4 linked regions of the Drosophila melanogaster genome follow. The protein of the gene in region 4 interacts with the protein of the main gene of each other region in a pairwise test. Each region holds a gene or a part of one and is shown on either strand. Other genes may lie near its edges.

The links.
Region 1: the proteins of Sou (region 4) and Atpalpha interact in a two-hybrid assay, tested with the Drosophila melanogaster proteins (one large-scale study listed by BioGRID).
Region 2: the proteins of Sou (region 4) and Hou interact in a two-hybrid assay, tested with the Drosophila melanogaster proteins (one large-scale study listed by BioGRID).
Region 3: the proteins of Sou (region 4) and CG12857 interact in a two-hybrid assay, tested with the Drosophila melanogaster proteins (one large-scale study listed by BioGRID).

What each region holds. Positions count from the first base shown.
Region 1 is NT_033777.3:20,944,482-20,953,172, reverse strand, and holds the start of Atpalpha (Na pump alpha subunit), read right to left. Parts: upstream 4,394-8,691; 5' UTR 4,368-4,393; coding exon 4,344-4,367; intron 1-4,343. UniProt on the Drosophila melanogaster protein: This is the catalytic component of the active enzyme, which catalyzes the hydrolysis of ATP coupled with the exchange of sodium and potassium ions across the plasma membrane.
Region 2 is NC_004354.4:18,646,787-18,653,841, forward strand, and holds Hou (houki), read right to left. Parts: upstream 3,659-7,055; 5' UTR 3,485-3,658; coding exon 3,367-3,484; intron 3,307-3,366; coding exon 2,747-3,306; 3' UTR 2,610-2,746; downstream 1-2,609. Other genes in the region: Rip11 (Rab11 interacting protein), read right to left, coding at 404-434; Nup35 (nucleoporin 35kDa), read left to right, coding at 1,520-1,670, 1,730-2,574; Ing3 (inhibitor of growth family, member 3), read right to left, coding at 4,041-6,001, 6,078-6,177.
Region 3 is NT_033778.4:14,757,407-14,765,164, forward strand, and holds CG12857 (uncharacterized protein), read right to left. Parts: upstream 2,197-7,758; 5' UTR 2,151-2,196; coding exon 2,077-2,150; intron 2,020-2,076; coding exon 1,269-2,019; intron 1,214-1,268; coding exon 716-1,213; 3' UTR 501-715; downstream 1-500. Other genes in the region: Trs31 (TRAPP subunit 31), read right to left, coding at 1-144, 200-375; Spred (Sprouty-related protein with EVH-1 domain), read right to left, coding at 4,633-5,390, 5,513-5,668, 6,425-6,593, 6,654-6,831.
Region 4 is NT_033778.4:21,012,510-21,020,324, forward strand, and holds Sou (souji), read right to left. Parts: upstream 4,938-7,815; 5' UTR 4,692-4,937; coding exon 3,393-4,691; 3' UTR 3,085-3,392; downstream 1-3,084. Other genes in the region: CG9346 (uncharacterized protein), read left to right, coding at 1-112, 170-588, 649-830, 893-936, 1,004-1,336, 1,404-1,646, 1,701-1,884, 1,944-2,196 and 2 more; RIC-3 (RIC3 acetylcholine receptor chaperone), read left to right, coding at 6,878-7,073, 7,231-7,350, 7,578-7,732.

The sequences.
Region 1 (8,691 bases), on a different chromosome or scaffold from region 4:
GATGACACGCGTCACCGCTCAATGGAACCGCTTGGCACTAAATCAGCCTCAATTGAGAGTGTGCTGGCTAACCTACTTGAGCGGCAGCATTCAAAACCAGCGATTTGTGGCACGTTGGCACGTCTAATTGGAAGACAGTTGGAATAGGTACAAGGGATCTGAACAGCGAATTCCTGGCGGTAATGCCGCCTAGATCCGCACACCAAGGTTGCCCGGTAACCGTACCCAAATATAACGATTGCGAATCAGTGGCGTCTTATCAGGTATCCACTATCTGTCGGTACCATCGGCCATCCTCTGACGCACTTCACCTGCTCACGACGCAAACCAGTTCAGCTCAAGTGTGGCGGAACCCAAAACCAATTACAGCTGTCGACGGTTATTTGTTTGCCCGACATATATACCACAATTATTTCTCATTATCGAGCGGTGCGATAATTTGATTCGACTTCGTATAGCTGGATATTTTCGGCTACTGCCAAATTGGCATTTGTCCGCTACTTATTTCGATTTGTTTGCATTTGGCCAAAAAGGCACTTTTTTTATTTTTTTTTTTTTTTTGTGCGATCGTGACTGCAAAAGTAGCTTTATGGCAACGTCAGCAGCGCGTATTAAATTGTATTTAAATTAAAACAAATTACGGACAGGCCGAGTTTGTGTGCAAGTGGCGGCAATTGCTGATATTGTCGTCACATATGAGGCATTAAATTAAATAAAAATTTATTATGACGATTTAAGGAGCGTCGGGCAACAAGCAAAGTGCGAATCAAAAGATACAGGCACAGATTCACACACAATTGAGCTACATATACAACTGTATGTATCTTCTGCGAGAATTCGAACAATCTTTCAATTGTTTGCATCATTTGGAAAACATTTTCCATTCCATTTTCGTTTCGAAATGCCAAGATTTTAACATTTATGGCAGGCAGGTATATGTAGCTATTTTTTTATGGATCTCCAGTGCCAAAAGAAATCCCACGGACAAGTGGCAGCCAAATCCGATTTTAGCGAGTTCTTGCGGGTTATATATTTATTTACTCGATCTAGAATAGTTGGATCGCCCGCTGTTTTTTGTGTTTATTCATTTGTTATGCCTTCCCATTTTACCGGCCAATTGAATCCGAGTAATATTCGAAAGTTATGTCATTTCCTTAGCTATGCATTACAGATTGCCCAGTGGAGCCGGCTTAATCTCGACCCAGCTCGTTTACTTCCTCCCACAATGCGTTCGCGGTAATTGCGGTAATTGTTGTCGTTCAGACAATATTAAGTGCGTGACACAAGACGAGTTCAGAGTTCTGGAGATTCACAAATCTCGTCTTACCGCCCGAAACTCGTTTGAACCGGTGGCGAACAGGAACAATTGAGCCATTGTTGAGCTCCGGCTCAGCTACTTCAGGTAGCTGGACAATAAACTACCCCTTCGGAACTAAGCCACCCCTGAAGGGTAATGATCGATGGACCTTGAGAGACCTACAAGCTGGAGACCAACTCGAAAACAAACGAAAACGAAAATAAATCAACGTACCGCTCTAGAACTTAATCTACAAGTGTTGGTCGAGCGAGTGTTATCTGATAAGCAGACGAAAGGTAAATATAGCGCAAAGGCACAGATACAGATACCGATACCTGGGAAACTGGAGGCCCAGACCCCTAATAGCGGGTTATGCAATCGTTAGTAATTAAGACCCTACCCATTGACGCAAACTGGGCATGTGCCAAATATCACACCGCAGCGAAACAAATCGAAGTCCTTGTCGAATGCAATCTGTGTGCTGGATGTGACAGCAAACAGTCAATGGGCGAGGTGATAATTTCCACATCTTGCGATTATGGCCGCCAATTGATGATGCCCACATAGCGTAGATGGCTTTTTCCAACAAGATCTATTCAAACGGTTTGCCATTGTCAGTTGATTAGATTTTTATTGGCGCGTAATTGAATTAAAACGGCCAATATTGTTTTGCTGCCACGCTTTGATTGCCGAAAGCAAGTCACCACCTCTGTCGGACGGTTTTCTGGTATTTTCCAGTTGTAATTATTATCACTGTCGCTTTTACTGCCATCGGCAATCTGTTAAGTAGTTAACGCGAACCTAAAATCTCCGAGCCGGGTAAAACTGGTCAAAAAGGGAAGGGGCCCGTCTATTCGGGTGCACAAAATATCTGGTTAATATATAGTATAGGTGTGTGTACTACATGTCAACGCTGATAACTGCTGATAGTATTCAAATCCTGGGTGTTAGCATTTAGAACCTGCCATTACCACGTTGGAAGCACATTATTCAGCTTATTTGCCGTCCTCTCCATAAACTCTTAATTGCTTTATCTGCATTTTTCGACTGATAAACGGGTAGATGCATACATACATACATATACCAACTAGTTCTCGTTTTGGCTGGCCCTTAATTCCAAATCATTTACTTATGGAACGCACATTGAGAGGAAGGGAACTTCATTATCGCGTTCTTAGAGCATCGTCAGATTGTAGTTTCATGATTTTTGATGTGCTTTCTTAAATTGACTTCAATTGAAAGCGCATGAGTCAGCATACAAAACGAAGCCACAACGCTGGTGGGGGGATGTGAGATATACTCGTACATAACTCAGCTTTACGCGGATTTGTGCGTGAAATCATAATAGAATTTCCACTGAGCACACTGGGTTAAGATATAAGATGTCGTAGTCCGGCAGATTGAATTATAATAATTATGCAACGTTGTATTCTACACCAACAATATTATCATCAGAATTTGCCCTTGAAAATCCGTTGGGAAATGCGTCATATTTTATAAAATTAATTGTATGAAACCCAACCCAATAAACCCAACCACAAATGTTTTTAAACTTAAAATAATTTGCGTAACTTATTTTGATTCTTAAAATATGCATACCACTACAATACTAATAAAGACGTAATTTTGGAATTACATACTTAATTTTATAACAATACAAATATGCACAATATAATATATATTATAATAATTATATAATAATATCTAAATATATTCTACAAGACACTTTCAAGTCTAAGTGAGGTCTTAAGCGTTCTTTTCAAGTTTTCCCGTTACAAATAATATCTGGACCCACTGTTTGTTGCGAGTGGATTCAGACCGCTTGCTCTATAGTTTTGCATACTTTCGGGCCGTCGAACCAGTATGTGTGTGGGTGCGTGCGTGTGTGTGACCTGCCCTTAGACAAGCCCCAAAATCAATAGAGCTGGCAATACGGACTTAGAATTGGTGGTCTAGCCCTAGGAACAGAACCGAAAGCCCGGGTGGAAACAACAACCCTGGCGAAGAACTCATTACCTTCTGCGGGGTAATTAAGTGGCGTCATCGGTGGGGCATTTAGTAACTAATCGAATGGTGAGGGGGTAGGGAAGGGAAAGTAAGGGCTACGTACTGAGAAAAAAGTACGGTAAGAAGTACGTCGATTTACGCTAATGTGCCAGTGTGTGTAATTAGCAGCGCACTACTCGGCCCAATGACACCAATTCCGGAAGGAGGGAAAGCACGGAAAATGGAAAAATAAACGTGTTATGCAGGGTAGTTTCGTTCTAGAGCTCGAGATTCCAATAATGAAATCTGCGAGATGCGGCGGAATGGGGCGTGGTTCGGGAGGGGCGGCAGCAGTACCGGTTATGTAAGCCGAAAACTGGAAGATTTCCAAGCACGGAAAAGCGAAAAGCTTTCGCGCCGGGAAAGTGGAAAATTTGGGAAACTGGTCGGCCTGGAAATGCAAATTGCGCATGCCAGCTAAGCGCACCTGGAAAGCGAGAGAGAGAGAGACAGAGAGGCAGAGAGAGAGAGAGAGAGCAAGAGAAAGGGAGAGCGAATACAAATTCGAGAAAAAAGTCAAAAGCCAGGCTCTAAGCCCAGGCTATTTTTACAGATCAGCAGGTAAGCGGATATAGGCCCATCCAGATCCAATAGGATTAGTAACTGCGCCCCGTTTCACATTCGATTCCGTTTGCAGTTACCGAAAGCCCGCAAACAAATTAGTAAACTTCGTTGGGCGTCGCCTCGGCTTTGTTGTTGTTGTCGTTGCTTCTCGCTTTTTCACCAGCAACAAAACAAATAGTAGTAGCAGCAGCAGCAGCAAGAACAACACCAAAAGCAATGTACACAACACAGATACACGCACACACCCACACAGCGCACTCGGGCTTCGATTTTTCCCACTAAAAACAACGCCCGCTCAGCGTATCACTTGGCCAATTTGTTTTGGCCCTGGTTCTTTTTGGTTCCCTCGTCATGGTCTAACAACAGTTTAAACTTAACCATTTTCTCACTTAACTAACTTAGTTTTCATCGTAATCCAGGCTTTATTTTTGCTCACCTCGTAATCCGACCTTAACGCCATGTTATTTTAATTTAACTCGATTATTCCCAGGGATGTGGAAAATTTACACAATTCCAACGTATCGATATTTTAGAAGTCGTGACTACCAAATGGAGAGTTATCGGCCTATTGTATCGAATAAGCCGGTGTAGAAATCGGGATGGCAATCGGTTAAGAAAATGTAATTGTAAATATTGCATTATGAATAAAATTACTATTATAATTTGTCAATAGTCCGAACAGTCTGGTTTATTTAAAATGAAAAGTTAAGTATTTTAAATATACCTGGATATTTATTTACCGAAAGTTGTTACTATGCTACCTTCAAATATTAATATCTGGATATGTTTGGATTTCAATACTCTCATTAATAATTGCTAATTTAAAATACCAAGTTAAAAATATGTTTAATTTTTCACCTCAATTTGGAAATAACATACTTTTATGTACTTTTTATATCAACTGCAAGCGTGAAAATTACTGGAGCTGCCAGATTAAAATATACACACTACGATAGTTGCCATCTTGAATATTTACAGATATGGAGAGTTGCCAACGTTATAGTTATGTGTATTCAATTTCAAGAGATAATAAAATACCAAATACAATACGCGCGTCTTCTTGCATTCCAAACATAGGTGGCGCTGTATAAGCAAAATAATTTTAAGTGGCAGATAGAACGAAGTGTAGATGGCGTTCGTTAAACGTATAAATTAGCTACTCTCCAAGAAATGTTCAACTGGACTTGAATCTTCTCAAATTTATTTCCTATGTTCAGTATTGATCGTTGATCATTGTTGCGATGAATGGCTTCAAACGGGCCAGAGATTCTCGAAGGCTCAGCAATTCGACGATCCTGTGGGGAAAAACGCATCTTGGAGATTATAAGTTCAGCTTACTTAAACTAATTAAATTATACTTAAATTTCAAGATACACCTGATACCCCTCGTCATCATTATCCAGCAACTTATCATTGGAAGCACCAACTGAAGGTTCGCCCGAAACCAACAGACCGCGTAATTGATTATAATTAAATTATGAATTTAATTGAGAACACTATTGATAAGTACGAGTCACGATGTGGAACTCAAGACGAAGATCTTCCAATTTGTCAGTGTAATGGAGCTATAAACATAACAATCCTCCAAACGACCAGGCATTTGGAAAACTTATCTCCGTCCGCACAAGATCTCATTTTATCATCCGAAATGCTGACCTCCACTTGGTCGAAGCTGAATTTATCGCAACTCTAAACCCCAAATATAATCAGGATAATTAGATGTCTCAAGTCATTTTGTTCTTGAAGGCTAGCATGTTCTATCTAAGTTAGCTTCCCAGCAAAATGGCATCTAAATTTCTACAGATTCATTCAATTGATCAATTCGGTGACCAATTACAAGGAAATGCCAAATTTGCACACTCTTACAAAGAGCACAGTTTGCACGGTTTCATTTGCCCTTACCTTCTCCGGAAGCTTCAATTGGTTTATCCGGTTAATTAATATTTTGAAATCAATTGTTGTCGACACGAGCACAAACAAGGAAGCAGCTCCAAAGGGGCTGCGGTTGCTTAGGCGAAACGACTTTTCGCTCAGCTGCAGAGCAACCCACTTTCCACTTTGCCCATCCTTTTGCCCGCCCTCTCATCCTGCGGCCCCGTCAATCGATTCAATATCCCATGGCCATTAGAAGGAAGCCGGCTCGACTACAAAATTGAGCCCACATAAGCTGAGGGGAAATCGCCTTGTTGCCACTGCCACTGTCTTCGGGTTTGGCTTTCGCTTTTGCTTTTGCTTTGGCATTGGCTTTGGCTCAAATAACCTGAAAGGCCCAATCAACAGGTGTCTTTGCCTCTGCTGCGTGCTGGTGCTTAGTGTTTCTGTGTGTCTGGGTGTTTGTGGTTCAACAACCGGGCCACCGGCGGCAAGGAGTCAGCTTCACGGCCGAGTCGGATGCCTCGGTGTGTGCCAAGCCAAATGGCGAGAAATAAAACTGGAATAATTCAATAGGAGGCGTGGCCAGCCCACTAAGCCCATGGGTAGGAAGTGGAGGGGGGGGGGTGTGTGGGTATGGCTGCGATGGTTGGATTCAGTTCGGAGAAGGCAGCTTCATAGCTTGCGTAATGAATGTCCTTAGCAGGCTGGGCACGTTTCATGTTTTTTCGTTCATGTTTGCTCTGCCAGGCTCCTGGAATCCCCCATCCAGGCCGCCAATTTGGAGCCAAACGGAAGGACCAGAATGCTGGCCATTAAAGCTCGTGCTCCTCCAGCTCCTTTTGCTCATTTCACTTAAGTTCATTTCGCAATTTAACACTACCAGGACACGCATCAACGAGCTGGCGTCTTAATTTGTGCCGCTTTTTCTGCCTACGCTCATAATAAATGCAAAAAATAGTAAGGGCAAAAAACAAAAAAAAAAAAAAACAAATAAATTTCCAGCAGAGGAAATGCCGAAAATATTTGCATGCAAATTTCCGACCTCCTTCACGCAGAAAAAAGCTGCACACCAGCAGCCGTTTGTCCCGTCAACCGCAATTTGAGTAAATTTAATTGAAGCCCCTTGGCCTCCTGCTCATGCATATTTATTGAGTCGTGGAGGGGACGGTGGGAACGGAAGCGGAGCACCCTTTTTGGGTCCAAGCAACAGTTGCCGCACATTGCGCATACGCCGCGTGTGCCACGGAGTAAGTTTCTGGCGCAGCACAGGGGCAGATCCAGCGCCAACTTAATTTCCACGGCACAACTACTACTACAGCCGATTATGCTAATGTCGAAAGAAAGAAAATTCAGGTGTTCTCCCGCAGCAGAACGGGGCAAGGAAAGGGACAAACAAGGAAAAGGTGACTTCGTCCTGGCTCTCGCCCTTCGTATTACCAAAGAAAGACAGCAGGAATTTGCAGCTGCAAGAGAGGAGGATATCCCTTTTGCTCCGCTTTCCCCTCGTTTGCTTATCGCGCTGACTTCTTGCTTCCGGTCTTATTTCTTGCCTTTGGACAGGACGACGCTGCCTGTCTGCCGTATAACAAATAGCAAAATGTCCTCCGTCCTTCCGCCCGTCTGGCTGACTGGCATTCGTGGCTGTGTCCCGGCTCGTCAACAAATTGTTGCTCCGCCGTTGCGTGAGTAAATTCCGTCGGCTTCTCGGTCTCTCGCTCGGCTCTCCTGCCATTCCGACATTGCGCATACGCCGTGTGTGCGTGAATTGCACCACGATGGCCCACTGTGCCTGGGGACGCGCCGCCTGTGCCAACTGTGCTATGGCCCGTATAACACCGGGCAGCAACAGCTGCTGGACGCACAGTTCATCGACAGTCCTCGTCTGGTTGGGTCCTTGGGTGGCAAGCGCGGCAAAAACGCAAAAACGCAGCACGAGTAGCAGCAACAGCAGCAACAGCAGGCACAGCAACACCAAAAGCAGCAACAGCATCTGTATCAGCCATCAGCAGTTCGTCCTGAAAAGCAAAAGAGCAGTGCGAGTTTTAAAGTTTCGTGGCTTATTTCCCGGAAATACCCGGTGACCATTTCGCGAGTTTTATATTCGATTCGATTCGAGTGCGGACTGAAGCGGTCAAAAACGGAGCTTCGGGTTCCTCATCAAAGAGCAGTCAGCCGGATTAATCCAAGCATTTGGGTTTGCGCACCGCCCAGCGGCATAAAATGATAAGTAAGTGCACAAAGAAGTACCACCATATTGTTAAGTTTTAATAAATAATTCAAGTTATGGGAGCAAAGAAAATACATTTAAATGTATACATAATGTTCGCTTTAATACAATATTAGAAATAGTTATTTCATTTTTGGCTAGATATACAGATTAACCAGAGTAAATATAGCAGCATAGCTTCACTTTCGTTTAATAATAACTTAATAATTATGCCGAAAAGGTAAAACGCCATTTTAATGCCACTTTATCTCAACTGCACTTTCCGCTTAAAATAAAAATAAAGGAGGCAGAGACAGAGAGCAAACCGATTTGAATCGTGTGCCCGGCTAATAAATGTGCTTTGCAATGGCGCAGCCTCATGCATTTTTTTCACACCCAACCACCCGATGTCCTGGCTTGCCACTTCCCCGCTGGTCCACTTCACATGTTGCGGCTGTTGCACGAGTGTCTGTTTAACGCCACTTAATGTCCTTTCTATTTACTATCCACTGGCTGTGTGTGCGTGTGTGTTTGTGCTGGTGTTGATGACTGCACAAAGCACACAAACTCGAAAAAAAGAACACACACACACGGCAACACTTCTGTGTACTTGCCACTCAACAGTTTCGTGCGAGAAAAAAGGGAAAACGCCTTTGGTGCAGCGTGGAAAACGGGAAACTTTTCCCTACCCGCCTAGAAAAAC
Region 2 (7,055 bases), on a different chromosome or scaffold from region 4:
AAGGGGAGCGCTTAGCATGAGCAATTTTCTAGCAATGCGATGAGTAAGTGCGCATTCGAGCAAGGGAATTATCTTATCAGCCAGAAAAGCCTGATAAAAAGGCAATTGCTGGAGTCAGGAAAACACAAGAGGAAGAGCAAGAGGCAATGGCAAAAGGAGGAAGCGCGCGGTGGGGAAAAAGTGAAATTTCGAATTGGTACGTCTGCAGCAAAAGCAATAGGAACAACACGACCGTCATGACAATATTTTAAGCACACACCAACACAACGGCGCAGGCCACACACCCATACACACGCGGCACAAACGAGTTTAAGTTTTAATGCGATTTATTCGCCGTAAAAAAAAAATAAAAAAAAAACACAAATACTAAAACGGGTGTCCCCCGCTTTTCGCCCCCACTTACCCGTTACACTACAGTGCGTCGGACTCCACATGTCACCCTGTATCCCGTTGATCAAGTCGCACTCTCACGCTCTCTCCCGATCCCGATCCTTTGCTGTCTCGCTCTTGCTGCGAAGGTCCTGCCTTTCGTTTCTTCTTCTTTGCCTATATTGTAATTTGGATTGTTGTTGTCGATGTGTTTTGTTTACACTAATCGTTGTGTTTGTTGCTGCTCGCACACTGTGATTTCTTCTTATTGTTCTCAGTTGCCAATTTAATCACGCGCGACACGAACGAAACGCCAGGAGAACGTAGTGTAGTCTAATGTAAAAAAAAAAAGGAAAAAGACGGAGACGCGACGCGTGATGTTGTTGTTTGAAAGGTGGCCGCTAGAGTGACCGTTTGGGGGAAACGAAATGTGCCCACTGCCAGTCGGGGAGCTGCAAAAGTGCAAGTTGCGCGGCGCGACTGCGAAGAACGGCGTATTTAGTAGAGGTGGAGAAATCGATGTTGGCGGACATCGATGTTTTCAATAAAAACAAAAAAATTAACTGCTTAACTTAAAGATTATTATTTTTTTATAATTGCTTAAATAAAAAGGCAGTACTATAACTAAACATGACAAGCTTATTGCCGTCTACGTTTTTATCCGCCCCTGGTCCAATAATTGCTCCTATAAATCAAATATACTAATTAATGCAATTCAATAGAAAAGTAATTCAATAGAAAAGTAAGCCAGTATGCATACGAGCAGGTGCACGCATGCATACATGCATAAATATACGTGTCGTCTTCCACGACGCCAGCCAAGACCACCAGCAAGTCACTGAAAATTTGCAATATGCTATTAATAAATGGAAATTGGAAAATTTGGAAATTTAATTTATACTCACAATTTAAACACTTTTAACCTACGATGCGCAGTAAAGATGGAAAAACATCGATGATTCTTTGAAAAACATCGATGTTTGTGATTTTTCGAAAACATCGATGACATCGATGTTGGCATCCACCTCTAGCATTTCGACCCCAGCCCAGCCTGGTCGCACTAACCGATTACAGCTGTGGCGTCCTTGTTAATGCAACGCTTTTTCGTTTTTCGCCGTTATAATTATTATAATTAATATTCGCATTCGATATGGAGCCAATGAATCTGGGCAGCCCGGTCAACAGTCCTGGCTCCAACCAGACCCAGTATCTGCCACCTTTTCTGCTCGGCGATCCGCAAGGTATAACGCCGCACAAGAACACGCTGTCCCCGAAAACCGGGCGCTCTAATATAAGTTTCGGTAAGTAGCCGGCATCAAGCAGCTCGTACGCATTGGCTATATGAACACATGCCCCGCAGCCACCTCGCCCGGCGGCAGCAGTCCGCACGAGCTCAACCGCTCCGCTCTGAGCACACGCACTCTGTTCGCCGCCCAAGGAGGCGCCCACACGGCTGTGGGCGCCAACAGCTCAACGACCGCGCACGGCCAGACGCACAGCCACCACCAGACGGGACCGCCCACCCAGGGACTCTTCGACTCGCTGCGCGAACAGTCCGTCACCCCGAAGAAGAAGAACCATCTTGGCATGCTGCAGTTGCAGTCACCGAACCAGAGCTACCAGAGCAGCTATCACACGAATGACTCGTTCGCACCCGGGGCGCCCAATGCCATCAATGCCTCGATGCGAGCACTGTGCTCGCCACTTGGAGCCACTGCCTCGCCAGCTGGAGGCCTGGGCACATCCGTGACGACGGGCGGCAACTCGCGCCTATCCGACTTTTGGGTTACCATCTTCGGGTTCCCGCCGGGGGCCGGCTCCATGGTGCTGCAGCACTTCACCGTCTGCGGCACCATTGTGGACGTGGTGCATGCCCCGCAGAACGGCAACTGGATGTATGTGCGCTACTCCTCGCGCATCGAGAGCGACAAGGCGCTGAACTACAACGAAAAAATCATCGCCGGCAATGTGATGGTGGGCGTGTCGCGCTGCACGGATAGGTCGGTGATCGATAAGGAGAACATCGGCTCTGTGCCCAATGCAGAGATAGGAGATCCCCCCACCAGCCCCAGTGCGATTCGACCGTTTTCCCAGCAGTCGTACAAGCTGGCCCGCAAAGATAACATCATATCGCCGCAGAAGGATGTGCCGCAAAAGAGCTCCGGTCTGATGGACAAGGCCATGGACCTGATATTCGGCTGGTAAGAAGGGCTGATGGCAAGTCGGATGGATGGATAGATGGAGTGATGGAGTTTCCGGCTACTTATTTAATAATTCACTGCCTACATCCAGCATACATACATATACATACTTATTAAATGGAGATATATTAGCAATAGCATTAGCAAAAGAAGTCGAAGGGGGTGGCGCTGCCCTTCTACTTGGGCTCCAGGTGCGCCGTCTCTAGGTTCTTCATCTTGGGATAGCTAATGGAGCGGCTGTCCAGCTTGGACTGGGCCCACAAGATCAGCTTGAGCAGGAACATCATTTTGGGCGTGGAGTCCTCGCTCTGCTCGCAGCGCAGGATGGCCGAGTTGAGCTCGCTAGCGATCTTCTGGCGGTACGACTGCTCCAGCAGGTCGGCGAAGGGGCTCTCCTGCGGCTTCTCGAAGGCGAGCAGGGCCAGGGTGCGCTCCAGCTCAAACATGGCCTCCTCGCCGGACTCGGACAGCTTGCTTTGGGCAAAGGACAGGGCCTCCTCCACCTTGCCGGCGCGTATCAGCTCGATGAGCTGCAGCTGCTGCAGGTGGAAGAACAGATAGCGATCGCTGCCGAGCAGCTCAGGATGCAGCTGGTTCACCAGCTGGGTGGCCTCCTCGATGCGGCCCGCCTGCACGGCTTCGCGGATGAGTATGCGCCCATCGAGGCTGCTCAGCTCCACGCTGGGCTCCAGATCCGCCTCGTGCTGGAACTTCTCGGCGGCCTCCTTGAAGCCCTCTGTGGATTAGCCCTTGATTAGCTGCTTGCTGTGGCTGCGGGCTGGTGACCCGGACTCACCTGTGACCAAGTAGTTCATGATCAGGCGATTCATGTCCGCCTGCTTGAAGGGAAACTGCTCCAGGCGCTGCAGCCACTCCTCCTTGATGATGGCCTCCGATTTCTCGTTGTAGCTCATTTTCTTGCTCTTGCGTATCTTGCCAATCTTGAGGCCGTTTTTCCAACCGATTTGCGTCGAATTCTGTTTACCTAATCGTCTTCCCGCTTTTCCTAGCCCTGTTTATGCGCTTTTATTGTTTACTAACTTGCAATGCACAAATGACGCTGGAAATTTTCTTTTCTTCTGTTCAGCGTGACCAGAGTGCTTTAGCAAGCGCAGCATGGTCACGCTGTTTGATTGCCAAGAGGGCGCGAATTTTGAAATCAAACTATCGAATGAACTATATTTTATTGTTTATTATTATTGTAGCGAAAACACCCTAAATTTGTTATTTAAGCTAGAAGCTGGCTTAAACTACTTTAGTTAAGATATATTAGTGCAATCCCAATCCACTATTCGCCTTTGCGTTCCGAACTGAATATAAAGAGCTGCTCTATTGCTGATCTAACTTTATTGAATACTTTGAATTTGTTTATTTGTCACTTTACAAGTATAAGAGCCGCTAGCGACGCGACCAGGTGCCTACGCCGCCGCCCCCGCCACGGAAGAGGGGCGCCAGCAGGCGCAGTCAGCCTCAGTTCTTTCGGTTGCCACGGCGCCGCATGGAGGCGGTGCACTTGGGGCAGTACCACTTGCCCTTGGGCGGCTGGGTGATGCCCACGCAGGGGTAGTGGAACCACTCGTAGGGACAGGCGTCGTTGTCGCAGGCCACCATGTCGCCGTAGGACACCTGGTTGCAGGTGCAGTAGCGCGGCTCGTTGGGATCGTACGACCATTCGCCCTCGTTCGTCTGCTCCACCACGAGTCCGTTCTCGCCGATGGTCAGGCTGGAGCCGGGCGTTACCGTGGTGGTGGGCAGGTTCATGGCAATCATTCCGGCGGGCACGCCCTCAGCGGAACTCTCCGCCAAGTTGCCTCCGCCTCCACCTCCGGGGGTCATGGCGAGCAGCGCCTGTCCACCCACAGACATGTAGGTTGTCGTGGCCGATGCCGCCGCCAGGGCCGCCGACGTGGTGAGCTTGTTCACCGATTCCAGACTAATCGACGACGACGAGCCAATCGAGTTGCCCGACGAGGAGCCGGCCGTCGGCTGCACTGTGGGCAACGTCAGCGCTGTGGTTAGCTTCTTCTTTTGCTTCTTCTCCTGGTGGTGGCTGCTGTGCCCGCCGCCGTGACCACTGCTGCTGTGGTGTCCGTGCCCATGACCATGCCCATGGCCATGACCATGTCCGTGCCCATGGCCGCCATGGTGCGACTGTGAGTGGTGCGAATGATGCGAGCCGGTGCTACTACCGCCAGCTGCGCCGGTGGCCAACGCTGTGCCGGCAGCCACTGTCACCGATCCAGCGGTCGACTGCTGCAGTCCACCCTGACCGGCTTGGGTCCAGAAGTCGGTGGTGGTGCCCGCTGTTCCGTGTATGGCCTCGTAACTCGCCTTGAGGCTGGCCGTGCGGCGGCCTTGCTGCATCTGCTGTGTGGCCACGATCGCCTGGCTGGCTGCCGCCGCAATGGCACTAGATGCGGCGGCTCCTCCGCCCAGTTGTTGCAGGTTGTAGGTGACTGTGGCCCCGGCGGCCGAGTGCCCACTGACATGGGCGTGCCCGTGGGCCGTACCAGCAGCGACCACGGACGTGGAGTTGCCGCCCGCTGCCGCTGCGGCGGTCGCTCCACCCGAGGTGCTTAGCACGGTGTGGGTAAGGTTCGTGGGCAGTTGGCGGACCAGCGAACCCGTTCCTGTGGCAAGCGAGCTGCTGGCAAGACTGCTACTGCCGCCGGCCACGCCCATGGCCACAGGCAGGGTGAGATGAGTGGCGGCGATGCTGCCAATGTGGTTGGAGACATGAGTTTGGGCAGTCGTCGCGCTGGCCAGGCTGGCGGCTGCTGCGGCCGTTGTGGCGGACGAAGATGAGGCTGCCGCGGCAGTCGTGGAGCCCGAACCGACCACGGGAAGTGAGTGATTCAGATTGGCGCGCTTCTCCTGAACAGGCACCGTGCATATGGTTTCCCGCCGCTTCTCCAGCTTGCGGTGGCGCTGACTTGAGCCCAACTGGGCGGTGGAGATGCTGGAGAGGGCACCGCCCGTTCCGGCAGCACCACTGACCAGTGCAATGCCGGAGGAGCCAGTGGCGGCACCCGTTGCGTGTCCCGTCGAGCTGTTCACCATGGTATTGGCCGAACTGGCGCCGTAGTAGCGGTTCTCCTTCTGGTTCATGCTCAGCAGCAGGGCGGTGGCTGCAGTGGAGTTGCCGTCCAGCTCCAGAGAGCGGCGCTCGAGGATTTCGGTGATGCCGTTGTTGTCCGCCTCCAGCTCGCACTTGAACTTGAAGAGCTCGCTATCCAGGCGGCGCAAGTAGCGCTCCACCAGCTCGTGTATCTGAGTGGCAATAGCCACCTTCTCGTCGGCGTCCTCCATCACCTTGAAGTACTCGCCGCGCAGGCTGTGGAACTCCGTGTCCATCGACTCGTGCTGCAGTTCGTCGCGCTTGCACTGCTTGAAGAACATGTGGGCCTTCTTGTCCAGCGAGTCCATGTTGTCTGTGCACCGCAAGGAGCAGTTATTGGTTAGTGATCCGGCGAAAAGCAGAGATTCGGATTCTCTGGTTGCACTTACTCTGGACGGCGAGATCTAGTTCGCGCATCTCGGTAAAGCGGTCGCGCAGCTCCTGCGGCAGGTGCTCGATCATCTCCAGATAGTCTTCGAGGTAAAGCATGATGGCGATGCGAATGGGCCGCGGTGTAAACCCAAAATTTTAACTACTTTGTGTGTTTATTAATGAAAATTCGTGTATTGTTGCGGGTATGTGTGTGACCGGATGGCGAAACGAAGTTAATCCCAGATGCGGATGGTAGTGCTCGATAATATCGATATTTAAGCAATCGACTCGAAACCGCGATACAAACTCAGGGTGGATAGCTGCGACACAAACCCTGTAAGGTGAAATTCGAAATTTAAATAAATTGTATAAATGGAAATCATAATTAATGATATTATTTATTTACATATTATAAGCTGTATTGTATAAAACTAAAAATGTGAATATATTTCAAAACAAATATATACTCACATTTTTACTGTTCAAAAGTTGTGAACAATAAGGAGTAAGCATTTTAAAGATATAAACAAACAACAGATGCCCATAGGATTGTTTCAAATATATCATTTTATTTCACTTATTGCCTGGCAAATGCGTGTTTACCCGCTTGTTTTTGGGTCTGGGATCGTGGCTCCCGGATGCACATCGTCCACATGCAGCCACTTTCGTTGCCACACGCGTCTCATCGTCATATGTATACTACATGCGTAAATGTAAAAAGCTTAGCTTAAACTTAACGAAAGTATTTAGAGTTAAGGTCGCTCCGTTCGGCTAGATTAACTTATTCGAATGCGAGGGCGCAGGCGCAGGTGCGGGTGCGGGGAATGATCCAAACAAGGTTTGAACGCAGCGGCGCGGAAACAAGTCAAGCTGCTAAATGCATCCAGTTTACTATCTAGCGGAAGGGGCCTCCTTCTAATCGCCAATCTGCCATATCAAATCAGCTACTACGCGGGATCGGGATTTGGGATTGGGTGCGAGATGTGTTCGGGCAT
Region 3 (7,758 bases), 6.3 Mb from region 4:
TCTTTGCCAAAGAGATTCTTCCACACCGTGGTCTTAACAAAGAGAAGCATTTGGGTTAGTTTTGTTTCTCGCTTGGAGCTGCGCTCCCTCACGAAATACAGGTCGATTATGCGGGTGCCTACATCTTGACCCAGATCGTGGAGTCTGAAAACGCCTTGGAATTAACGAATTAATCGCAAAAACTTAGAGAAACTCCCACCTTGTTTGCAATTCTGGGACTGTAAACACTCGGCTCTGCGAGTACTGGACGATTTCGCTGAAAAGCAGCGCCACAATGCTCTGGGAAACCTCCGTTTTGCCCTTGGATAGTGGTCTGTCTAGGATGTTGCTGCGCGGACGCATCGAGGATATTTTTAGGGCCTCCAGTTTTTCCATTTTCCTGATAAATGTATCAAATTATTTTCCAAAACAATGCAAAGTGTGCACGCCACCCTATCTGCCCGAAATGCCAAAGAGCGTTGCAGAAATGGTCACACTTAAAGTTGCGACAATAATACAATAAATATTAATTATATTTATTAAACCACTTGCTTTTTTTTTAAAATGTTGATGTACATTTTAAAAAATATATTATTAAAAATATGCTGATTTGTTTCATAAATATCAAATGAACGAAGTGTACAATGTATAACAGAAAAGTGTGCCAAGTTGTTATACTAGCACAAACTGAAGCCCGCAAATTTGAATTCTAGTCGTTACTATTCAAACTCAATAGTTAATCGGCAACAAAATCGTCCGATTTTATCTTCCTTGTGCTGCAACAGTCAATCTTTTTACTCGGGTCCTGAAATATCACCTGAGACCAGTGATCTTTGGAGCATTGTTGTAATTCCGAAAGGTAATCCTCGAAGTGTTTGAAACGAATTTCCCGGGTATTGGGACAACCGACGCCGTGATAATAGCTGCACAAGCTATCGCATATCCAGTTTCGCTGTCCGGAATCACTTGCGTATTCCTCACTCTGTGCGTCATTGCCCTCCAAGGCATCCTCGTACATGCGCGACGTTATTCTCGATATGGATTCGTCGATCTTGTACTCCACCTCCGGGTTGAAAATCAGCTTCATCACCAACGGGTGATCCTCCTCCCGTCGCGCATATAGTAGATACCACAATGGCATCAGGTTGAATCGAATACAGGACATTAAACGACGTACGTGCACTTTCCTCTTGTTCCAATCGTGACCCAGCCATCGAACAGCTATAAAGAAAACCTAAGAAAAACATATAAAATGCAATAATAACTATAAATATTATGTTGAACACCACCTCAATCTCGGTGTTCACACAGATTTGATCGGATTCGAGCAAAAAAATCAGATGGGAGGTCGGCAGATCGAGGAAATCCCTGGTGGCCACAAAGGTGAGCAGAAACTTGCGGATCCTAGTCAGCATCAAATTGCGAACTACATCCATGGCGGGATTGTCCTTCGACTCGACGTATAGGACACATGCCGTATCCTCGTTGTAGTATTCCTCATCATCGAAATATTTCCAACAATGCGCCGCCAGACCAGAGATCCTCAAATAAGTGGCGGCCACATAGACCTCCACAATGTGAGCCAGCTCCAGGACGGGCTCATCGCTCAGCATCCATTTGTAGGAGAGCATAAAGGCCTTCTGGGACACGATCTTCTCGGGCAGGGTGACCAGCAGCGGAATCATCTCCAGTTCACTAAAGAAGCGAGAGTACACCTGCAGCACGATGAAGTGGCAATTGAAGTACATATTGTTGATTTCTATCTGCACAGTGGTCTTCAGATGGGACTCGAACATGTAGCGCAGCACCGTGGCCAGCCGATCCTTGCAAGGCTGCTCCAGTTTCAGCCAGCCATCGGCATCCTCGAAATTATGACCGAACTCGAAGAGGGAGCGATTCAGAGACGTGGTCTCCTCGACACCATTCTTTGATATCTTACTGAACACTCTATGCATTTCGAGATCCTCCGCCTTCGATACGAATCTCGCAATGGAGTTTATTTCATCATTGGAGGATAACTTCTCGGCACTAAGCTTGGGACTGCAAGGAGAAGGAAAATATTTTAAGATTACTCCGACTGGTTTAAGATTAACTCACTTGGTAAATAAAACGCTGCAGGTGAGTTCCTGCCTCTCGCATTTCTGTCCGTTCTGCCTCATTAGCTCCTCCATTTCGAAATTTGGTTTTCTTGTTTTGGATTTTTGACTGCACGGCTACTGTGTTTTTAAGTGTTTTAAAAAAAAAACACACTCGTAGCTTTCACATTGTTTATTAAATTGTGTTTTATTGTTGGTATTCTTTTGTTCACATTTTCAAATACATTTATATGAATAAATATATCATTTATATTACTATTTTCTTTATCCTTTTCTGCAATGACACGTTTCTTTTCAATTTAATATGAGTATATGCGGCTATTTTAACTATTTTTTCTGATTTCGATGTGAAACAATAAGGGTAAGAAAATGATACAAATTGCAAAAGGTGATATTTTATTTTAGCTAAAGTAATAATTCCGCCTTTTGATCTAGTTTTATTGTGTGTTTGAGGACGATTGCAATAATAGTTAGCTATTTTTCCATTGTGTAAGCGTGTAAATTAGAGAGTAATATAAAACGTAATTGTAAATTATAGATACATATTTAACATTTTGTACTTCTTGTTGTTGAGTGTTTTGTTTCCGTTTCCGTTTCTGTTTGATCCGTTCACGGTTCATCTTGCCTTATATTTTCAAAAATTTGCATTCCATTGATGTCCGTTTTCAGATCTTGGCTTGTATTTTCTGAGGTTTGTATCAATGTGTTTGCTGAATTTTGCACATTTAATAACAATTGCCGTATTTAGTTAATTTTTACAATAATAATGTTGCTTTTTAATGTGTTTTTTTTTTGCACAACCTTTGCTTATTTTTAATAAATATGCATTTTGTTTTTTAGTTTTCGTGTGAATTTCTTTCTTTCATGGGTTTTCTCACCGACTTAGTACAACAATAATTATATAGTAAGAAATAAATTAATGTTTTTTTTTTTATTATTTTTATATATATATATAGCTGCATATATGAGTTTGTTGACTTTTTGAAAACACTTAAATTGTTTGTTTTTTGTTTTTGTTTTATTTTTACCCCTTTGCTCAAATGCCTCCTCTTTCGGCCATTTTATAAACGGCCCAAAGTTGTTGGCATTTCAATAAAAATTACAAATTGCTTCGCATTCTAGAATTATTTAGTTGCAAAAGATTTCCAATCGAGCAATGCTGCGCTCTTTGTTTGTCCATCGACTCTCTAATTCTAATTGGTTTCTCATTCTATTTCAACGTCTGAACAAAAGATTTTGGAAAACAAACGTTTTGAGTTTGGGGCAAAAGGAATATTTTGAATCTTCATGAGCCCTAAGAAGAGACAAAAACATCCTTTTTATAAGGCAACCGAATGGGTACATAGTTCTGAACTAAAGCACATTTAAGTAACAATTGCCGAGCATAGCGAACGCACAAAACTTGAGCATTGCCGCAGACTCTTTTGCTAGAGGAGTAAATCGAATACAATTTGTAATTCTTCTTCAGGTTCGGAGAAGAACGGCTCGACAGCCGTGTCGTCGTCGTCCACTAATTCTTCTGCCGAGTTGTTGCGTGTCTCGATTTTTTTTTTTTTATTCATTTGCGCATCAGGTTGCCGTTTGTTTGAACTTTTCGTGTGAGTTTTTGAGCGCGTGACATTGATTAACAAATTGGAATCGCGCAGAGAAAATCGCATTTAAATATATTTAGTTCTCGTTTCGCCTTTGCCTTCGCCTTGGCCTTTTAATACTGTTCTCCAATTTCGAATTGTAAACAAGCAAGTGTAAAATAGCAAAAAACCCTAAACAACTAAAACTAAAACAATCATTGTATAATATTTTGATTTTTCAAAAAAATGTGTGTTCAGTTACGAATAAAAACAAATAGCCCGTTTTTACAAAACTATAATTAAGCGAGAGCACTAAACATAAGTTACAATTTTAAAAGTATATTAAAATTAGATACATAATCCTTCCTGCTCTTTTGTATATACAATTAATTATGGCAATTCAAATGGAGTATACCGAAATGATACTAAAATCGAACCCCAGACCCATTTTGGCAAACTGATTTTCAAGCTGAATTGCTTCTTACGCATTCTTCTTTCACCCGATTTGAAAAAGCTGTGCTTTTGCATCGACACGATTTTTTCATCTCAACAGTGTGAAAACATTGTTTTCTTGCCATTTATCAGAAAAACATTTCCTTGTCCACTTTTAGATATCTTTAAGATACCGTAGATCTGGTGAAATAATCAGTACTTCTTGGTAATCAGTTTGTAAAAATGAGTCCTCAGGCTGTCATCATGGATAAAGCCTAGAACAGCAAGCGTCCGTAATCGTTCTGCGGTGCCTTCCTGCCAGTTGATTGCATTAAATACGGCGGAGTCTGATGCTGGGGAGCACCCAAGCTGTGCGACAGCTCCCAGTTGTAAAAATGACGCTGCGATTGCTGTGATTGCTGCGACTGCTTCTGCTTGGCGCCCCACGGACGCTTGGCGCTGTTCATTATGCTCTGCTCGGAGTGGTGGTAGTGGAATTCGCTTCTGGGCCTGGGGTCATCATCGTGCTGTCCTTGCAAGCGGGCCTCCAAATGTCAGACATGCGGCTTGTGCTGCCCGCCGCAGAGGCCGCAGTGGATGCCGGCCAAGTGGCAGGCGCGGAGCGGCGGATAGCACCACAGGCAGGGCACGAACAACGAGAGGATCGCCAGGCCCAGCCAGCGCTTGCTGCAGCCGGCCTCGCTGGCGCTGCAGTCGCACGGATGCTGGGCCGTCTCGCCCTCGGCGTCGCTCATGCAGTGGTAGATCATGCAACGGGCACAGCCCATCCCAGAGATGCACTCGTAGCCGCTGCGAAACGCATCCGGGGCATATTCGCAGGCGCCCCGCCGATTGAAGTCCTCGCTGTACAGCTCGTGGCAGTAGCGGCATCGCAGGCGCGTCTCCTTCTTCAGTATGTCGGATACGTTTGGCTTGTGCAGTGGCTTTCCCGATCCGCCGTCGCGACAGGCCAGTCCACCACCCGCCGCCGTCTGAGCCGCCGCCATCGCCTGCGCTGCCTCCAGAGCGTTGCGCTTCTTTAGTGCACTGATCGACTCCCTGCGAGCATTGAGCACCTGCGCCCCCACCGGCTGGTCCACCACCGGATAGTTGTAGTCGTGGTGCACCGCCGTCAGCGTCACGTACGAGTAGTTCTCACTGGCCGCTATCTGGCCGGCCGTCGCCGGCGATGGAGCAGCAGAAGCGGGCGGTGCGTCTGGCGGCGACGTGGTGGCCGATGTTTTGTCCGTGGATATGTAGTGAATGGGCGGCGGAGGCAGCTTCTCCGAGTCGGAGTTGTTGCTGACGCTCTCTGCAAGGTAAGCGATGGATTAAAGATGTGCTCTCAATTGATTAGTCATTGGGTATCAAGTGAATCTTCATTAATTGATTCCACCTGTTTTTTTTTTTTTTACCCAATTTAGCAACACTTACTGTGACTTTTCTCGCTGCCCTCGGGGCTTGAATGGATCTTTTGTAAACTCTCGCTCTCCACAGGTAAGTCCAGGGTCATGAATACATCATCTTCGCCAACCGAATCATATTTGGTTAGCGGTGGGCATATTATCGTTGGATTCGATTTGGCCAGTCCTAGATAAGGTAAATGAATCAGGTTTAGTCATCATAAATTCCAAACTATTTATGAGTAAACAGCAAAGTTTTTTAGCAAGGCGCAAAGCAGAGAACAGTTTAAAGTTGTACAGAAAGAAGATAGATCTTGACGAGCGTATAATCAGAATACAGCTAAGTGTAAGCATGAAAATCGAAAAGAACTCATCGAAACGTGGTGACCTACTAGTGTGGACTAGACTATACTATTTCACATATATGTGCTGAGAATTTTGAAGTGATCGAGCAGCGCAATGTTCCTCTTCAAAGCAAACAGCACACACACACAAAACTAAATTCGAGGTACGGCCTCATTTAACACTTACCAATTTGAGTGAAATTATAGTTTTAAATGTTTGGTTGATTTGTTGATTTTTAAAACAATTTGCAATATTCCAATGTGATTGTGTGTGATGATGTTTGATAATTGGGTTGGTTTTTCGTTTGGTATTGTGGCAAAAGTAGAGCATAAGACATACAAAAAGTTATATATATATATATATTAGTAAACGAAAGCAATACTAAGTCAGAGACTTGGAAGATTTGGAGGAAAGAAAGGCAAGTGGCTTCGGCATGAGAAGGTAAGCAGTAGGAATCAAATAGCAACTAAAGCGGGCTGACAGAAAGCAGAGAGAGAGAGAGAGATAGAGAGACGGGATGTGCAAGCCGGTCATGCAACTAGTTGGTACATTAGATGGTAGTTGGGGCTCAGCCATGAGGATTCGGGCAGGGGTTTACCATCGATCAGCTCGTTGTAGGCGCGCAGGACGCCCTTGTCAAAGGCTCGCGCATCGGCGGCCGTTTGAAATGTGAGTCCATTCCGCTGCTTCCCTGCGCGCCAATGATGAAATGTAGGCATTACTTTGTAATACTTCAGATCACGATTGATCACACAGCTCAAGATGACCTGCCGGAAGTAATTCATTTTAATATCAACAGCATATTCTAGTGTGGGATCTATACTCACGCTCTGATCGGATATTCTCTGCCCGTAGATGATGTAGTCATGACCCGATGCCAATGGGGATAGCCTAGCCCGCTTCCGGATCGAAACATTGGCCAGGCCACCCCCGGCCAGCGGAAGCCAGCCCTCGGTGCTCTCGTCTCTGGTCATTACCTGTGCGCGTACTGTTACTAAGAAGTCGCTGTGAAATGAAAAAATTGGTGTAAATTGCATTAGTTTCGATGGAGAATACAATTTTAATCTTCATTTTAATATCTCTTTGTAACCATTTTTTAATGTGAGCTTATCATGCTAGACATATCTTAGCCTAAATACTAAAATCAGTAGCCATTCCACCTGCTTATTTTGCGTTTGGGACCAAGTTTGGTATAGGAAACCGTAGCCATGCTGGATGCACCAATGGTTTAAAACGAATGAGAGGCATCGAGGTACCAGAGCTGCCTCTATATCCTCGACAGGATAACCCACAAGTGTCGCTAATTTGGCTAATTCAATTTTTTGGCACCGTCAAGGAAGCCATAGCAAGGATACTAGTAGCACCTGCCATCAGCAAAAATTGATTCATTGAAGCGAGGGTAAAAAGCCAATATAAACTAAAAATATCTGGATGTCCTTCGTTATATATATATATATATATCCAAGCAAGGATATATATACCTTTATCTCATCTAGTCTTCAATTAAGAACATTCCGAGTTTATTGAGATACTTTTCCCAAATGAATGTTATGTTAAAAGCGGTTTCAGCTATAAAGAATCTGTATGTAACTTGGGGTTGCCAAATGATATACGGTTTCATTCTTGAAAATGAAGCCGCAACTTCGGAGCTAAGGACTTTCCTCGCCTTATGAATGGGGGAGCATAAAATCGAGTTTTTTATGACCTGCGCACAAGTTTCGCATAAATTGAATGTGCTTAAATAGGGGACAGAGTTCCCGGGCAAATCAAAAAGGGAGTTACTCAATGAAAAAAGCTCCAAAAAGGGAGTTGAAACTCCACTGGTCCAATGGAATGTGTATGTGTGTGTGTGTGCTTAAGGGGAGGGGTTTAGGTGCATGTGTGTGCACCGGTGTGCGTGTCATATGTACACATGCTTGTCCTAGTTTCGCT
Region 4 (7,815 bases):
ATTACGCCAAGACCCTGGCCTCGGATCTCAAAAAGGACTCGGGTCCATTGAAGAAGAAAAACCAGGAGAAGAAAAAGAGCAACTTGGAGCTGTTCAAGGAGGAATTGAGACAGTAGGCCCACTTGGTTGTGCATGTGTGTATTCCATACTAATTGTTTCATGCCCACAGGATTCAAGAGGAGCGTGAGGAGCGCCACAAGTACAAGCACATGGCCTCAAGCCATTCCGCACCAGCACAGCAACCGGCTGCATCAGCTGCTCCTGTGCCCAGCAGCAGTGTCTCCACCACCTCCCAGAACTCAAGCAGCTCAAAGGAGTCTGGTTCGTTTGACACGGGCGATCCAAATACCACAAACCTGTACCTGGGCAACCTGAACCCCAAGATATCCGAGCAGCAGCTTATGGAAATCTTTGGGCGATACGGTCCCTTGGCCAGTATCAAGATCATGTGGCCCCGCTCCGAAGAGGAGAAGCAAAGGGGACGCAATTGCGGCTTTGTGGCCTACATGAGCCGCAAGGATGCGGAAAGGGCCCTAAAGACACTGAACGGGCGCTACATCATGGGCTACGAGATGCGTCTAGGATGGGGTAATCTATAGATCTTATATTGAAGTTCTTATTCCTCATACATCTTACTTAATATTTCAGGAAAGACTGTGCCCATAATGAATACGCCCATTTTTACACCGCAAGCATTGCTTGAGATGACCCTGCCTCCGCCTCCTTCAGGATTGCCCTTCAATGCCCAACCTCCACCCAGTGAAGCTGATGTGCTGCCCAAGAAAAACTACAAGGAGTTCAACCAAGAGGACAAAGAGAATATGGAGCGGGTAAGTGAATAATCACCTGCTAGCGTCTAAAGAAATAAAAATGAAAATGTTCAATTTTGTAGATACTTGCCAAATGCGTCGTTAAAGTCCATATACCCACAGAGAAGTATGAATTGCACCAAGGACATTCACTTAACAAGAACTCACGTTACTGTGCTTTTCTTTTTTTCCAGGGCTGTTCTTAATGTTATCCATCGGATGATCGAGTTTGTAATACGCGAGGGACCGATGTTTGAGGCTTTGATCATGATTCGGGAAATGGAGAATCCGCTCTTTGCGTTCCTCTTCGACAACGAGAGTCCTGCCCACATCTACTACCGATGGAAGCTGTTCTCTTTGCTACAGGGCGATACGCCCAATGAATGGCGGGAGGAGGAATTCCGTATGTTTAAAAACGGACCGGTTTGGAAGCCCCCGATTGCCAACTTCTACACTCAAGGCATGCCAGATGAGCTGGTTGTTGATCCCGATGCTCCTGTGGTGCACAAAGGAGCCTTGTCCAATGCGTACGTTTAGCATAGATAATCCTCGAAACATAAATGTTTACTGTACTGTAAATGTATACTGAAATAGGCAACGCAACCGACTCGAGGATTTGATTAGGCACTTAACTCCTGAACGCGCCCGCATTGGAGATGCCATGATCTTCTGCATTGAGCACGCAGATGCGGCTGATGAAATCTGCGAGTGCATCGCCGAGTCTCTGTCAAATATCAATACATTGGCTTCAAAGAAGATTGCTCGACTTTATCTGATCTCAGATATACTGCACAACTGCACTGTTAAAGTTGCGAATGCTTCGTTCTTCCGTAAATCGTATGTATATATGTTTATCAAAGCATACACATTGAAATATCCCCTATTATTTAGTGTGGAAAAACAATTGTTGGACATCTTTGATAACCTGCATAACTACTACTTGAACATCGAGAGTAGATTGAAAGCTGAGGGCTTTAAATCCAGAGTCTGCAATGTTATCCGCACATGGGAGGAATGGACCATTTATCCCAAGGATTTTATGGCCCAGCTGACGGCCAAATTCTTGGGCAAACCTGTTAGTTAATGAAATTCATTTCAAATTGTGCATGTAGTCTAATGGAATCTTGTGTTTAGTACGTCAAGCCAGTCAATAACTCACCTCAAGCCGAGGAAACGCGATTTGATGAGGCTCTGGACGAAGATATCGACGGTGCGCCCCTTTCCGGAGAGGAAAAGGACGACGAGGATCTAGACGGAGTGCCACTAGATGGAGCTGCTTTGCTTAAGAGCGCCTTGAAGCGAGCCATACCTGATGCAGATGCTGGTACTCCAAAGCGTGACACACCTAAGAAAGATGAATACCTCGATGAAATCGATGGCATACCATGTAAGCATAAGAAAGTGATTTAAACCTTCTTACTACTAAGTAAATAATCCTTAATTCCAGTGGATGATGATCTCGACGGTGTACCGTTGGAAAAAGAAACCAAATCTACGGCTAAGTTGCCTGGCTTCATACCCTCAAAGTGGGAGACAGTTGATCCCCAGCAAGTAGAAGCGCAGGCGATTACCACCAGCAAATGGGACACTCTCGATCCGCCAGATCCACCGAAGTTCTTTAGCTCGGACGACGACAGTGGAGAAGACAATCCGCAAAAGTACACCGACGAGATGCGTCAGAAGTTAAGAGACATTGAGTCGAAAGCAATTCAGTACCAGGACGAACTGGAGTCCGGAAAGCGCCGCCTGGAACCAGGTTGGAGTGTCCCCGAACAAGTGGAACAATTCCGGAAGCGATTACTTAAACAGGTAAGATTTGTAACATACAGTAAGTCGGATGTAACAACTGAATTCTTTGCGAACGAACAGGACTCGCGATCTGAGGCAACTGTAGACTCCCCGCTCAGCTACATGCACATAAAATCCAAGAGCTCCAAGGTGAGTGAGAGTCCAGCGCTGTTCAGAAGCAGTTCCCGCAAACGATCCCACTCGCCGTTCTCTGGTGGCGAATCCAAACGACGTGACTATTCACCCGAAACCTCGCGCTCATCCAAATCCTCGAAACGCAATCGGTCGCGTAGTCCGTCCAGTTCACCGAAGCGGTATACAGAGCGGTCGTCTCGCAGCTCCCGCTACGAAACTCCTGCCTCCGGATCGTCGCGATCACGCAGTTCTCCAACCTCCTCGCGCTCCTCTCGCAGAGAAGAGCCATCGCCGCCGAGACATCGCAGCGACAAGCACAAGCACAAACATAGGCACTAGAGTGTCTGCTCTTCGGACGATTTGTATTTAATTAAACATGGATTCTACATAAAAACACTTTCGTCGTTTGTTTTAAATACACAGTATATATAATTTTAAATCTAAATCGTTTGTTAGGAAGTGGGACACACGCAAAACAGACGGCCCAGGCAGTTCGATTCCGCTCTGCGAATTTGTCTAAAAACATGAATCTAAGCAAGCTATCTTAAAATGGTTACGTTTTGTTAAGGAAAGCCGGCCAACCAACACCAGTCCTCGAACCGCCTGAGCCTGGTCATATAAGCAGTGGTGATTATCATAAGGTGAATACATAGATGTGGCTTAAAAGTAGATGCGAACAGCCTCCTCGGCATTCTGCTCCACGGGGCAGTAGGGGCACTTCAGTATGTGGCCAACACTCAGCTTGTGCAGGGCGTCGTTGGATATGACATGACCGCAGGTCAACTTCTTCGGCGGATTGTCCTCGGAAGTCTGCTGGCGCAATATGGGGCAGGCAAAGATCGAGTGGAATCGGAATTCCGGCTGCAGATCGATCTCAATGGGCAACTCGTCGCAGCCGTTCCACATGCCAAGGACTTGGCGCGACTGCATCACCTGCTTGATATTGAGCAAGGCGGGCAGGGCAGTGCATCCGGCATTGACCACAACAGACAGGGCGGAGTTCTTGCTAATGCCTAGCAGTTGGCATGCGTCTTTGAGGAATATGAACGACAGTTCGGTCCACTTCTCCTGGCCCAAGAAGTGCTTGTAAGGCGAGTTCTCCAGTCCACTGGGCAGATATATAAAGCTGGCCATCAAGTTGGCTATTTCGTGCTCATAGCGCACAGCAAACTTCTTGAAGTTCAGTCGAGCGTAGGAGATGGCCTCGCGCTGCGAGTCCAATCCGTAGGAGACCAGCTGCATGAAACGCATGCGGTGCAGCCGGAACTCTATGAGCGAGTGGCGGTCACTCAGCTGCTGGGAGTACATCTTTGCCCACTTGAGGGCGTCAGTCAGATCCCGCTTTTGGATCTTCACCCAAATGCCGTAGATGTCGGCAAACTCGCGCTCCGAGTCGAACACATCCTGGGCATGCTCCGGCGACATCTTGCACTCGCGGATTAGCGTGCGAGCCACATCGTCCATGCCCTGGCGACAATAATGCTTGGCAATGGCCTTGTTCAGCAACATCAGGTTCTCCTCGTCCTGCAGCACGTCCACTCGCATGGTGGACGAGAAGTCGGCGCTAAAGTTGCGGTCAATGGCCTTGCCGATCTTCGAAATGGAGCCGTGCAGATCGCGGTGCTCCGTGGACAGTTTTTGCACGCGCTCGTGGCACCTGGCGAGAGCATTCCGGACGCTCTCCACTTGGCGCTCGGTTAGGCGTTGTGGTGCCGTCGGTTCCGTCTCCACCTGCATGCTCACCGCATCGCCCATGGGATCGTCCTGGGACACCTGGGTGCTCGAGTTCAGAGTGGTCACCAGCTGCTCCGCCCTGCTGAGAACCTCTACCAGCTCCGACATCTGTGTGGCTATATCTCCGATGTCCGCCTCTGCGTTCTCGTGAAGCTGCTCCAGTTTGCTGACCACTCGGGTCAGGTCCTTCTCCACCGACGAACAGGCCAACGACTCGCTGTCCATTGTTAGCTCCAGTTTCGTGGGGTGAAAGCCTAGAAACCAGTCACGCCAGGCGCGCGTTCACTTTCGATTTTACAACCTTTTGCTTTCGAGGATTGATAGCACTGTGATTCTTCAAAGTCACGACGATATTCGGTGGTCCAGCGGAAAATGCGTATTTATAAATTGTTAATTTTATAACACAAAGAAGACGAAAACATTGGAGCTGGGTGGACCACTCACGATGCTATCGATAAATCGAATAATTTTAATTTCGATAAAGGGCAACAGTGCTGAGCGAATTAATATTTGTATATTCCGCATTTTACGTATTACCGTTATATTGGATCCTTAGTTGATCCTTAGTTATATATAGTTAGTCTAGTTTAACATCATAATAATGCATAATAAAGTAACCATTTTACGAACCAAATATATATTTGACCTTTATATATTAATAATAATGTGATTCCATTTAAAACAATTACAAATATACAAAAATTTATTAAATCCCATAAGCCTTCTATCAGTGTAAAGGATCCGTTAACTTTAAACGATAGAAAAGTATCGATAGCACTCGCATGCATCGATTGACAGCCAATGCTGCCCATCTCCGTTCGGTCGACTGAAAAATCAATTATTATTGCTGCTGCTTTCTGGCAGAGAAACTTATAACGACAAACAAACAGTTTGAAATTAGCGTAATTAGATAAGAAAACGAACTTTGAAACCAAAGGTGTTAGTCTTTAAAAACGAAACTGATAATTATTTAAAAGGTACCTCAGAACACGAGAGCAATTCCAAGGACAAAATCTCCACACTTTGAATTCATAATTTTTAAAAATAAGTGATGAGTCTTAAGCCGAACGGCATTGAACCCAAATTACAAATGCTGTGCCTCCAAAAATAAAAGCGCAGAGAGCTCGAAAAACGTTTTCCAAATTAATGTAGACAGTGACAAGAAGAGGGAAATTTTTAAAATAAAAGTGGTGGAAATAAGAAGATGCTGTGCAAATAACAGACGTGCATAGTAAAAACAATTTTACTTTCGCCACTTTTCAGTCAGTGCGCTTGAAAGCGAAATGGAAAACGGTCGGAAAACTCATAGCACTTGGCAGTGTGTGTGTGCGTGTGTGATAACAAGAGCGAAGAAGCTGCGAAATGAAAAATATGAAAACACGAAATTTCGCACACAGTGCTGGTCAGCAAAACAGCAGCAATAGCTCAAAAAATTAAATTTAAAATTATATTATAAAATTTTTTTGCTGAAATATTTCAAATTAAGTTTGCCCAATTTCCCAAGCAGTTATATGTATTTTGATTTAAAATCTATTTCCGAAATGAATTAGAGAGCATTAATGTTATGTCGGCTGCTGTAGCGTAGCTCTCGGAAATTCCCGGTGCAGGCCCAAGCTGCAAATCACTTGTCTCATCAAAAATAAAGGAAAATAATGGCCGACGACGATTATGGGGAAAAGCGCGCCCGAATGGTGTGTCGGGTCTTCAGATCTGATCTGCCGAAAATTCGCTAATAGTTTCAAAAATTTGCCTGGCCAGTTCGGGAACAACATTCGAACTTTGCGTAAGCAGTCGCTCTGTCCAGTTTTCTGTTTTCATTTTTTTTCGAACCCTTGGTCGTTCAAAAACCGTTTTCCAAAAGCGATACGAAAGCATTTTCTTTTGGAGAAACGTTCAATATTATTTATGCGGTCGTTAATTGTGATTTGTGCGGTGGGAAAAGTGAAAATAATAAAGAATTATTAGACGGGCCGAAAAGAGCGAATTGCGCGAGCTAAAAATAAAAAAGATCGGGACCGCTATTTATGTAATAAACTTTTTTGTTTTCCCGCAACAATATTCAAACGTATACAGCATTTTGCGCTGCGATTCGTGACCGATCAGTGATGTGAATACAACTCCAACGAAAGCCGGAATCAGCGAACTGTAGCGTGTAACCGATTATGCATCTATGTATCTTTCAGATAATGCTTTAAACGTACAGCAAATCAACCATTAGCCAGCCAAAATGAGCCAATGCCAAAGTTAAACAGCAACTAGAAACACAGCGCATAGTCAACAGCTCGCAGGGAGCCATCAACGAACCAAATCGATCAGGAACACATAGCAGAGTTGCCTTAGGGACTAGCTTTAACCACGAACCCATAGCCAAACGAATCCAGATAGCCCACGGAATCCGCTACCAAGCCAAAATGCCCGCTACAGCCACATCCAAGCCGAGAGCTCCGCTCGTCGAGGAGGGCATGACGCCCAAGAAGACCGCCCTGATCATCGTAACCGTGATCGGATGCATTGCCATCCTGTGGCCAAAGGTCTTCCATCCCATGATGTTCGGAGGAGTGCCTCCAAGCCAGCCAAACTTCAAGGATCCACGAGCAGCACCAGGCGGTAAGTCATCAGATTCTATTCACCACATTAGGAGCTAGGGCTTATAAATGTTGTACTTTACTTAATTTCATTTATCATTTATTATTTATGAATTATCATCATGATTTTCTTTTGATTTCCGTATGTGGGTGTTGTTGTTGTCCGGTCGATGTTGTAGGATGTTGTGATGTCGTCCTGGACAGGGAGCAGTTTCTGAATGCCACGAAGAAGGACACTGTCGAGCCCTTCGGTCCGCATTTGTATCGCAAGCAAATCAATGTTTACACGGGCGAAATAAGTATGTGGCTCGATTATTTATAATTTGCTTATTGGTTTTACTAACGGTGTTTGGCTCTACTAACAAGATTGTATCTACATGAAACAATCGATTGAGATACATTTAGATTCCTAACCTTTACGGTATTAATGAGTTTATTAATGTTTGGGTTTCTAAAATGTAGTGTTTATGTCAATTAAAAATTTGATAGTTTAATTGTGTTACTAATGAATCCATTGTGGTCGCAGGTCTGCGCCAGGAGCGTCCCGCCCACCTGCATCCGGAATCCATATACCAGGCCATGAGGGAGCGGGGTCGCGCCATTCCCGCCACGCCCACCGTGCCGATTCTAGAACGAAAGACTTCGCCCAGTAATCCGCCTCCGCGGATTGTCGACGGACGGGTGAGTTGGGCTACTATACATTTAACCATACGGTGTGCATTATTCTCCGGACGATAAATCCATAATTATAATATATATAGTTA